2 linked regions of the Cricetulus griseus genome follow. The protein of the gene in region 2 interacts with the protein of the main gene of each other region in a pairwise test. Links are inferred from orthologs where the notes say so. Each region holds a gene or a part of one and is shown on either strand. Other genes may lie near its edges.

Region 1 (3,747 bases), on a different chromosome or scaffold from region 2:
CACAACTCAGGCTGGCCTCGAGTTTATGATCATCTCTTACCCACAGCCCCCGTGCTGGGACTACAGGTGTATGCCACCACGCTTGGTATACTGGATGCTGGGGATGGAACTCAGGGCTTCCTGCATGTAAAGCAAACATTCCACCAACTGAGCCTGCTCAGTAAAGTTCTAAGAAACAGCTAACATCTACATTGTAAGTTGCTATATGGATTAGATTAACAAAAGAATAAAAAGCCCTTGCATCATGGTCTTTAGAACTTTCAAATTTTACTTTTATTTTATTTTTATTTTCTGGTTTTTCAAGACAAGGTTTCTCTGTATTGCTTTGGAGCCTGTCCTGGAACTCACTCTGTAGACCAGGCTGGCCTTGAACTCAGAGATCCGCCTGCCTCTGCCTCCCGAGTGCTGGGATTAAAGGCATGAGCTACAAATGCCTGGCTAATTTTACTTTTATTTTAAATTTTGTGGTGTGTGTGTGTGTATATGCACGAGAGTGTAGATGCCCAAGGAAGCCACCTGTTGGAGTCCCTGGAGCTGGAGTTACAGCAATTATAAGCCATTCCATTTGGGTGCTGGGAATCTCTTGCGTCCTCTGTAGCAATAGCAAGCTCTTTTTTTGGGGGGGTGGGGTGCAGTTTTGAGACAGGGTTTCTCTGTGGCTTTGGAGGCTGTCCTGGAACTAGCAATAGCAAGCTCTTAACAACCATAACTAGTATTTATTTGTAAGTACTTTTTGGTTTTGCTCTTTTTTATTATTTATTTATTTATTTATTTTGGTTTTTCGAGACAGGGCTTCTCTGTAGCTTTGGAGCCGGTCCTGGAACTCACTCTATAGATCAGGCTGGCCTCAAAACTCTAGAGATCTGCCTGCCTCTGCCTCCTGAGTGCTGGGATTAAAGATGTGTGGCAGTGCCTGGATGGTTTTGCTCCAGGTTTTGTGACAGGGCCTCACACTGTAGTTAGTCCAGGCTGGCTGGCTATCCCAGGCAGTCCTTCTGCCCCAGCCTCCCAAGGGTTAGGATTACAGGTAGGTGCCGCCTCTTGGCTGGAAATGCAGCCTACTTGTACAGTTCAAGGCATAGAATGTCTGCTTGGCATCAAACATTATTTAATCCAATAGAGGGAATGCACAGATAGCGATAGGAGGTACTTTGGGCAGTTTCTGTAAAGGAGATACTTCGGATCTGATGTAGGCAGTGTAGACGACAGCTATGGAGAACCAGGGGCCGGGCATTCCCGGAAGAGCCAATGGAAGACCGAGAGAGGCAAATCTTAACCGGGGAAGGGAAAAAAAAGAAAAAAGAAAAAAGAAAACCCACACAAGGAGCAAGCGCACAGAGTGACACGGTAGGAGTCCCGGTGGGGGTGGGGAGCAGGCGGGGGGGGGGGAGGCGGCTTGGATTTTCAGAGTGACAGGACAGAGTCCTCCGGGGAGGCAGGAGGGTCGAGCAGGGGGCCGAAGGCGACGTTTCGCTGACGCCGGGGGCGGGCGGGCGGGCTGCCGGTGGGGCAGCATCGGGGAGAGAGAGGGTGAGCGGGGTGGGGGCGGCCGGGGCACTGACGGCTGGAGTTTGGGGGAGCCCGAGCTGCTAAGCACAAGGAAGCGGCGGCCCCTGGAGTTAGCGGGGAGAGCCGGGGGGCCGCGGGGCTCGGCCACTGAGTACCCAAGTTTGGAGAAATCCACACTTCCTTCCATGCGGCGAGGAGACCGGAGTCTGGGACCCCGGAGTGGCATCTCGGGGGGCGGGGGGGGGGACACAAAGGATCGGGGGGGAAGGGGGGGAGGCTCAGCCCTGGGGACGCTGCCTAGACAGCCCCAACAAGACCCCGGAGTCTTGGCTCGCCCTTCCCGCTCGCCCTTTGCGCGCAGACCCTCGGCAGGCAACCGCAGGAATTCAGCCCCCGCCTCGACTCCGCCCCCGGGCGCAGGCGCCCCCTAGCGGCAGCCCGGCCAGGGCTTCCCCGGGGACTCCGGCCCCTCAGACCCGGGGCCCCGGCGAGCCGCGACCCCCGCGGGCCGCCCAGAGCCTTCCCTGGCTTCCGGAAGGCGGCAGCGCAGCAGCGGCGGCAGCGGCGGCGCGGCGGCGGCGGGGCGGGTGAGTCACGCAGCCGGAGCCAGGGAGCCTGCGCCTCCGCCCCCTTCTCCGGCTCCGGCGTGATTCACTCAGTCCGGCCCGGACGGGCGTCACGTTCAGGCCCCGGGCGCCCGCCCGGATCCCGGACAACCCCGGCGAACATCTCCCCAACCGGGGGATCGAACACGCTAAAAACACCTCGGGCCGTCGGTACTCCCACCCTCCCCCGCCTCTCTCCTCCCACCCCCCCACCACCACCGGGCCCCCTCATTTACATACCCAGATCACTCGCGGCCAATCAGAACGAAGAGGGAGCCACACGCAGCCAATCAGGAAGCGGCAGCAGGCGCATCGCTCGGCTCGCCCGGCTCCCGCAACCGCCGGCGCCCGGGACGGGAGACGCTGCTCTGACTCCGGCGCACGACTCCGGCCACTCCACAATCCTTAGTTCCCGCCCACTCGCGTGGCGGCCCCGCCCTCCCGCCCAGGGCTCGGCTCTCATTGGTGGGGGTGGGCGGAGCCTGCGGGGGGGCCGTCCCCAAGGGAGGGGAGGCGGTCCTTAAAGCGCATGCCCGGGAGCTCTCCCGGAGCCCTGAAACTAGTAGCGATTTCTCCTTACTGGGCGGGGTGACAGGTAGGGGCTTCGGAGGTTTTTTAAGGCTCAGGCGGATCACTTTGTGAGCTTGGAGAGAGGGATGAGTTCTGGGAGAGGGACGCGGTTTATTAAATCGACCTTCCTCTTGAGAGCTACCGTGTTAAGAGTGTTGTCTCCAGCCGGGCTCCGCTCTAATTAAAGACGGGAGTAAGGTGGACATGGAATAATGGCATGAGGGTCACATCCTGGACATCAGTGCCTCCGGAGTAGCGGCGTGACTTTGGACAACAGGCTAAAGCCCTCAAAATCTGTTTCCTTTCGGAGTGTGGTTGTTCACAAACCATAATCCCAGCGTGGGAAGACTGAAGCAGGGGCATTGCTGGGAGTTTGAAGCCAGACTGAGTTCCAGGCCAGCCTGGGCTTCAGAGTGAGATCCTGTCTCAAAAGAAGAAAGGGCGAAATTTTTTGTTTGTTTGTTTTGTATTTTTCTGAGACAGTTTCACCAAGTTGCTCAACTTAGCCTGGAATACAAAGCAATCATCTTTCCTCAGCCCCTCAAGTAACTGGAATTAGGGGATTTTTTTTTTTATTTTATTTTTTTGAGACAGGGTTTCTCTGAGTAGCCCTGGCTGTCCTGGAACTCCCTCTGTACACCAGGCTGGCCTCGAGCTCACAGAGATTCACTTGCCTCTGCCTCAGAGTGCTGGGATTAAAGCCCTAAGCTCCACAGCTGGCCTTTAACTAGTCTTAAAGATGCCAGGGGAGATGCAGTTCAGCGAAAGAGTGCTTGCCTAGCATTCCGTCATGTTAAACACCTGTGTTTGATTACAGCACTGAAGAAAAAAAAAAAAAAAGCCTGATGATTTACTAAGAGTAGAGTAGAATGTTTAGGTGCTTATTGGTTAAAAGCACTTGCTCAGGGCTGGAGAGACGGCTCAGAGGTTAAGAGCACTGGCTGCTCTTCCTGGAGACTGGGTTCAATTTCCAGCATCCAGCTCACAACTGTCTGTTCCTCCAGCTGCAGGGGATCTGACACCCTCGCACAGACGTACATGGAAGCAATGCAACAATGCACAT
Region 2 (3,647 bases):
TACATACCAGTGACTGTGCTTTATCAGAGCTGTTTTTAATGATGTTGCTCAGAATGGTTTCCTTCCAGATGATAATTAAGAAGCTAATTAAAAAAAAAAAATGGTGCCAGGTACCACAAGAGTAACAGAACTGTGCTGTTTTCTGGGACTTTGTTTTTTGCTTTTTGTTTTTTTGTTTTGTTTTTTTTTAAGTGGAGTGTGCTGGATGTCTCTACAATTTTGTTCAAATGACTGCAGAACCTGGAAAAGCTGTTGCTGCTATTGATGCATAACATACTGCTATTATTGGTCTTTTTATATAAATACAAATATATATGTATATATATATATGTACATATATATGTGTATATATATATATATATTTGTTTATTTGTGTACAACATTCTGCTTCCATGTATATCTGCACACCAGAAGAGGGCACCAGATCTTTATGTTGTGAGCCACCATGTGGTTGCTGAGAATTGAACTCAGGACCTCTGGAAGAGCAGTCTGTGCTCTTAACCACTGAGCCATCTCTCCAGCCCTATATGTTAAATTTGATATGGAACCTGTATTGACATTTTCATTCCTTTGGAGGATTTGAAAATCCAGAGCAAAATGGGAAGACTGATGTCAGTGGTAGCAAGAGCTGTGATATTCCTGTCTTCTGAGAAGGCACTGGTGGTCCTGCTTCAGTCACCGTTCCAACAGAAACTGCCTTTGCCTACTGGGGCTTCATGGCAGCCAGCAGTGTAGAAGAAAAGACCTAGTGATCTGCTTTTTGCTTTGTATTATTAAATTCCATGCAATTGTGTTGACTTGCTCATTCTATGCAGATGACAATCTCCCCTGACAAAAATGTCTTTCAAACTTTCTGAAAATATTCTTTAGCAGCCAGACTTTGTAGGCTAAATAGAAAAATCTAAATTGATACTTATTTCTCTTCCCTCCTTTCCCACTCCCCCAAACAGAACGCACTGAGGAGGTGGAGGCAGAAAGACTGGTTTTGATGAAGACCATAAAGCACTTCAGTGAGAGTTCGGGATATGGAGATGACTAGTCAGTCAGGGATGGGAATTTCATAGTCTCAGTGCTGCAGATGTTTTGTTTTTCGTTTGTTGAGACAGGTCTTAGGTAGCACAGGATTATACTGACCTTCTGATCATCCTGCCTCCACCTCCCAGGTGTTGGGACTGCAAGTGTGGGCTTTGTACATGCTAGGCAAGTATTTTACCAGTTGAGCTTTGTCTCCAGCTTCTAAGCAGTTTTTATATGATGACAAGTTCCAAGTAAAAATGGCAGACATCAAACAGAGGGCTGGAGAGATGTCCCAGGAGTTACGAGAGCACTACTGCTGTCCTTCCAGAGGACCAGGTTCAGTTTTCAGCACCACATCAGGTGTCTCAACCCTCCTGTAACTCCAGTTCCAGGAGATGTTTGTTTTGTTTTGTTTTCCTTTTGAGACACTCTCTATATTGACCTGGTATCAATATAAATTCCACTCTTCACTGAATCACTGAACCACTCAGGTTCTGGGATTAAAGGCATGTACCATCACATTCAGCTGTTTGTGGCTTTTTTAAAATAAGGCTTTTGGAAAGCCTGGTAGTATATTGCATAGCACCCAGAGGCTGATAGAAAAGGAGTGCCATGAATTTGAAGCTAGCTTGGGCTGTATAGTGAGTTCCAGATTAGCTGGGCCTACAGAGTGAGATGTCTGTAATATATACCTAAAAGAAAATAAAAGAATAGAAATGGAGGTTTCAGCTGTAGTTCAGAGTGGCCTAGAACTTGCCCATGTTGGCTTTCAACATTTTTTTTTTTAACTCTCCTGCCTTTAGTCTCCTAAGGATTATAGGCACATAACTTTAATCTGTGAGACACTTACTTGGGTTTGTCTAATTGTTAGCCATTTAAAATTGTGCTGCAATAAATAACCTTTGTGTAGGTTATTTCCTGTTGTAACTTAAAGGCAGATTTACAGAGGTAGGACTCCTAGATGAAGGATAAAAACATCTGTATTGTGTCTGGGTAATGTCAGATTACCAACCATGGATGTCATTTTTTTTTTTGCATTCTCATCAGCAATGAAAATTGCTACCTAGCCAGGCATTGGTGGCACATGCCTTTAATCCCAGCACTCAGGAGGCAGAGGCAGGTGGGCCTCTGTGAGTTCGAGGCCAGCCTGGTCTACAGAGTGAATTCTAGGATAACCTCCAAAACAATACAAAGAAACCCTGTCTTGAGGAGAAAAAAAAAAAAAAGATGAAGAAGAAAGAAAATTGCTACCTTAATGTTTTTACCAGTAAATTGGTTCCCAGTATTTGCAAGTTGGAAGATTTTATTTAAATCCTCCTTCTTACAAGAAAAAAAAAATCTGGCAGAACAAGGCTTCTGTCTACACATGGCAACACTGGTCAGAAGTGAATAGCAGCTGCCCTTGTACTGGGGAAGCATTCCCTATTTTACTCCTTTATCCACCTGCCTGGCCCCTGGGAACATGAGTGTCCATGGAAATCAGCTTTTGAGCTTTGTTCTGAGGCTGGTTGTCATGGTAGGTGAATGAAGACTGTTGGAGACTTATAAAACAGACATTGTAGTTCAGGTCATTTATGTTAAAAGAGTTGTTGGCAAATGTGCAATTTTAGGAACCCAAGGTTGTAATGAACCTTGAGGTAGATATGAATTCTGATGTTTGGGGGAAGACTATTGAAAAAGTAAATAATTATGTTGTGCAGGTGCCATGGTGCCACACCGAGGAGGCTGTTTGGAAGGCTAGCAGGACTTTGGTCCAGAAGTAGGACTGGAGCCAAAGTGTGTGCTAAGCCCTCCTGGGGTGGCTGTCCTGCCTTCCCTGTGTACAGAGGTTGTGTGCCAAAGAGGAGCCCTAAGTCTTCTGTCTACTTGATGGCCATCAGAAATTTTGGGCTGTCCTATCTTAACATAGTTCTTTTTGCAGGAGAGAAACCTCATCAGTGCCAAGTCTGTGGCAAGACCTTTTCTCAGAGTGGGAGCAGAAATGTTCACATGAGAAAGCATCACTTGCAGCTGGGAGCATCTGGGAGTCAAGAACAGGAACAACCTGGTGAGGAGAATGGTCAGAGTGGAGAACTGTGTTAAACAGCCAAGTCATTGGACTGCTTGGCTATTTGGAGATATAGTTAGGTTTAGGGTAGAGAGACTTGGTTTCATTTGATGAATTCATAGTTTGTAACAGCTGTATAGTATAATCATCTGCAAACTTTCAAAACATATATTTCCTTATTGTTTGTGTTCCTCCCCTCACAATAAAGGAACTTGATAAATGAGATGAGTTGTAAATCCCAGAGCACATACTATTATAAGTTCCACTAAGGGGTTTGCAAGCAGCTCAGCAGTAGAGTGCTTGCTTAGCACATGTAAGACCCTGGGTTTAAACACCACAGAAAAAGGTGTGTGAACATGTGTGTACACATGCACAAAACAAATAATGCCTGTACATCCACTTGGAAGGCTGAGGAGGGAGCACAATCTGGGCAACATAGTTAAGATCACTGTCTTAGGTGGTCTTTAATCCCAGCAAATGAGAGGTAGAGGTAGAAGATCAACAGGCCAGCCTAACTATGTAGTAAGTTTGAGGCCAGCCTGCACTACTTGAGACCCTGTCTCAGAAAACAAAATAGTAAGTA

The links.
Region 1: the proteins of Znf410 (region 2) and Sertad1 interact in binary tests that used the Homo sapiens proteins (3 or more experiments, as listed by UniProt). The two-hybrid records come from large-scale screens. The link is inferred for Cricetulus griseus from reciprocal best matches to the Homo sapiens genes ZNF410 and SERTAD1.

Annotation. Positions count from the first base shown.
Region 1 is NC_048602.1:8,436,423-8,440,169, forward strand, and holds the start of Sertad1 (SERTA domain-containing protein 1), read right to left. Parts: upstream 2,489-3,747; 5' UTR 2,355-2,488; intron 1,760-2,354; exon of another isoform or gene 1,665-1,759; intron 331-1,664; exon of another isoform or gene 1-330. UniProt on the Homo sapiens protein: Acts at E2F-responsive promoters as coregulator to integrate signals provided by PHD- and/or bromodomain-containing transcription factors. Stimulates E2F1/TFDP1 transcriptional activity.
Region 2 is NC_048598.1:119,438,576-119,442,222, reverse strand, and holds part of Znf410 (zinc finger protein 410), read left to right. Parts: intron 1-2,938; coding exon 2,939-3,064; intron 3,065-3,647. UniProt on the Homo sapiens protein: Transcription factor that binds to the sequence motif 5'-CATCCCATAATA-3', and is specifically required to silence expression of fetal hemoglobin in adult erythroid cells.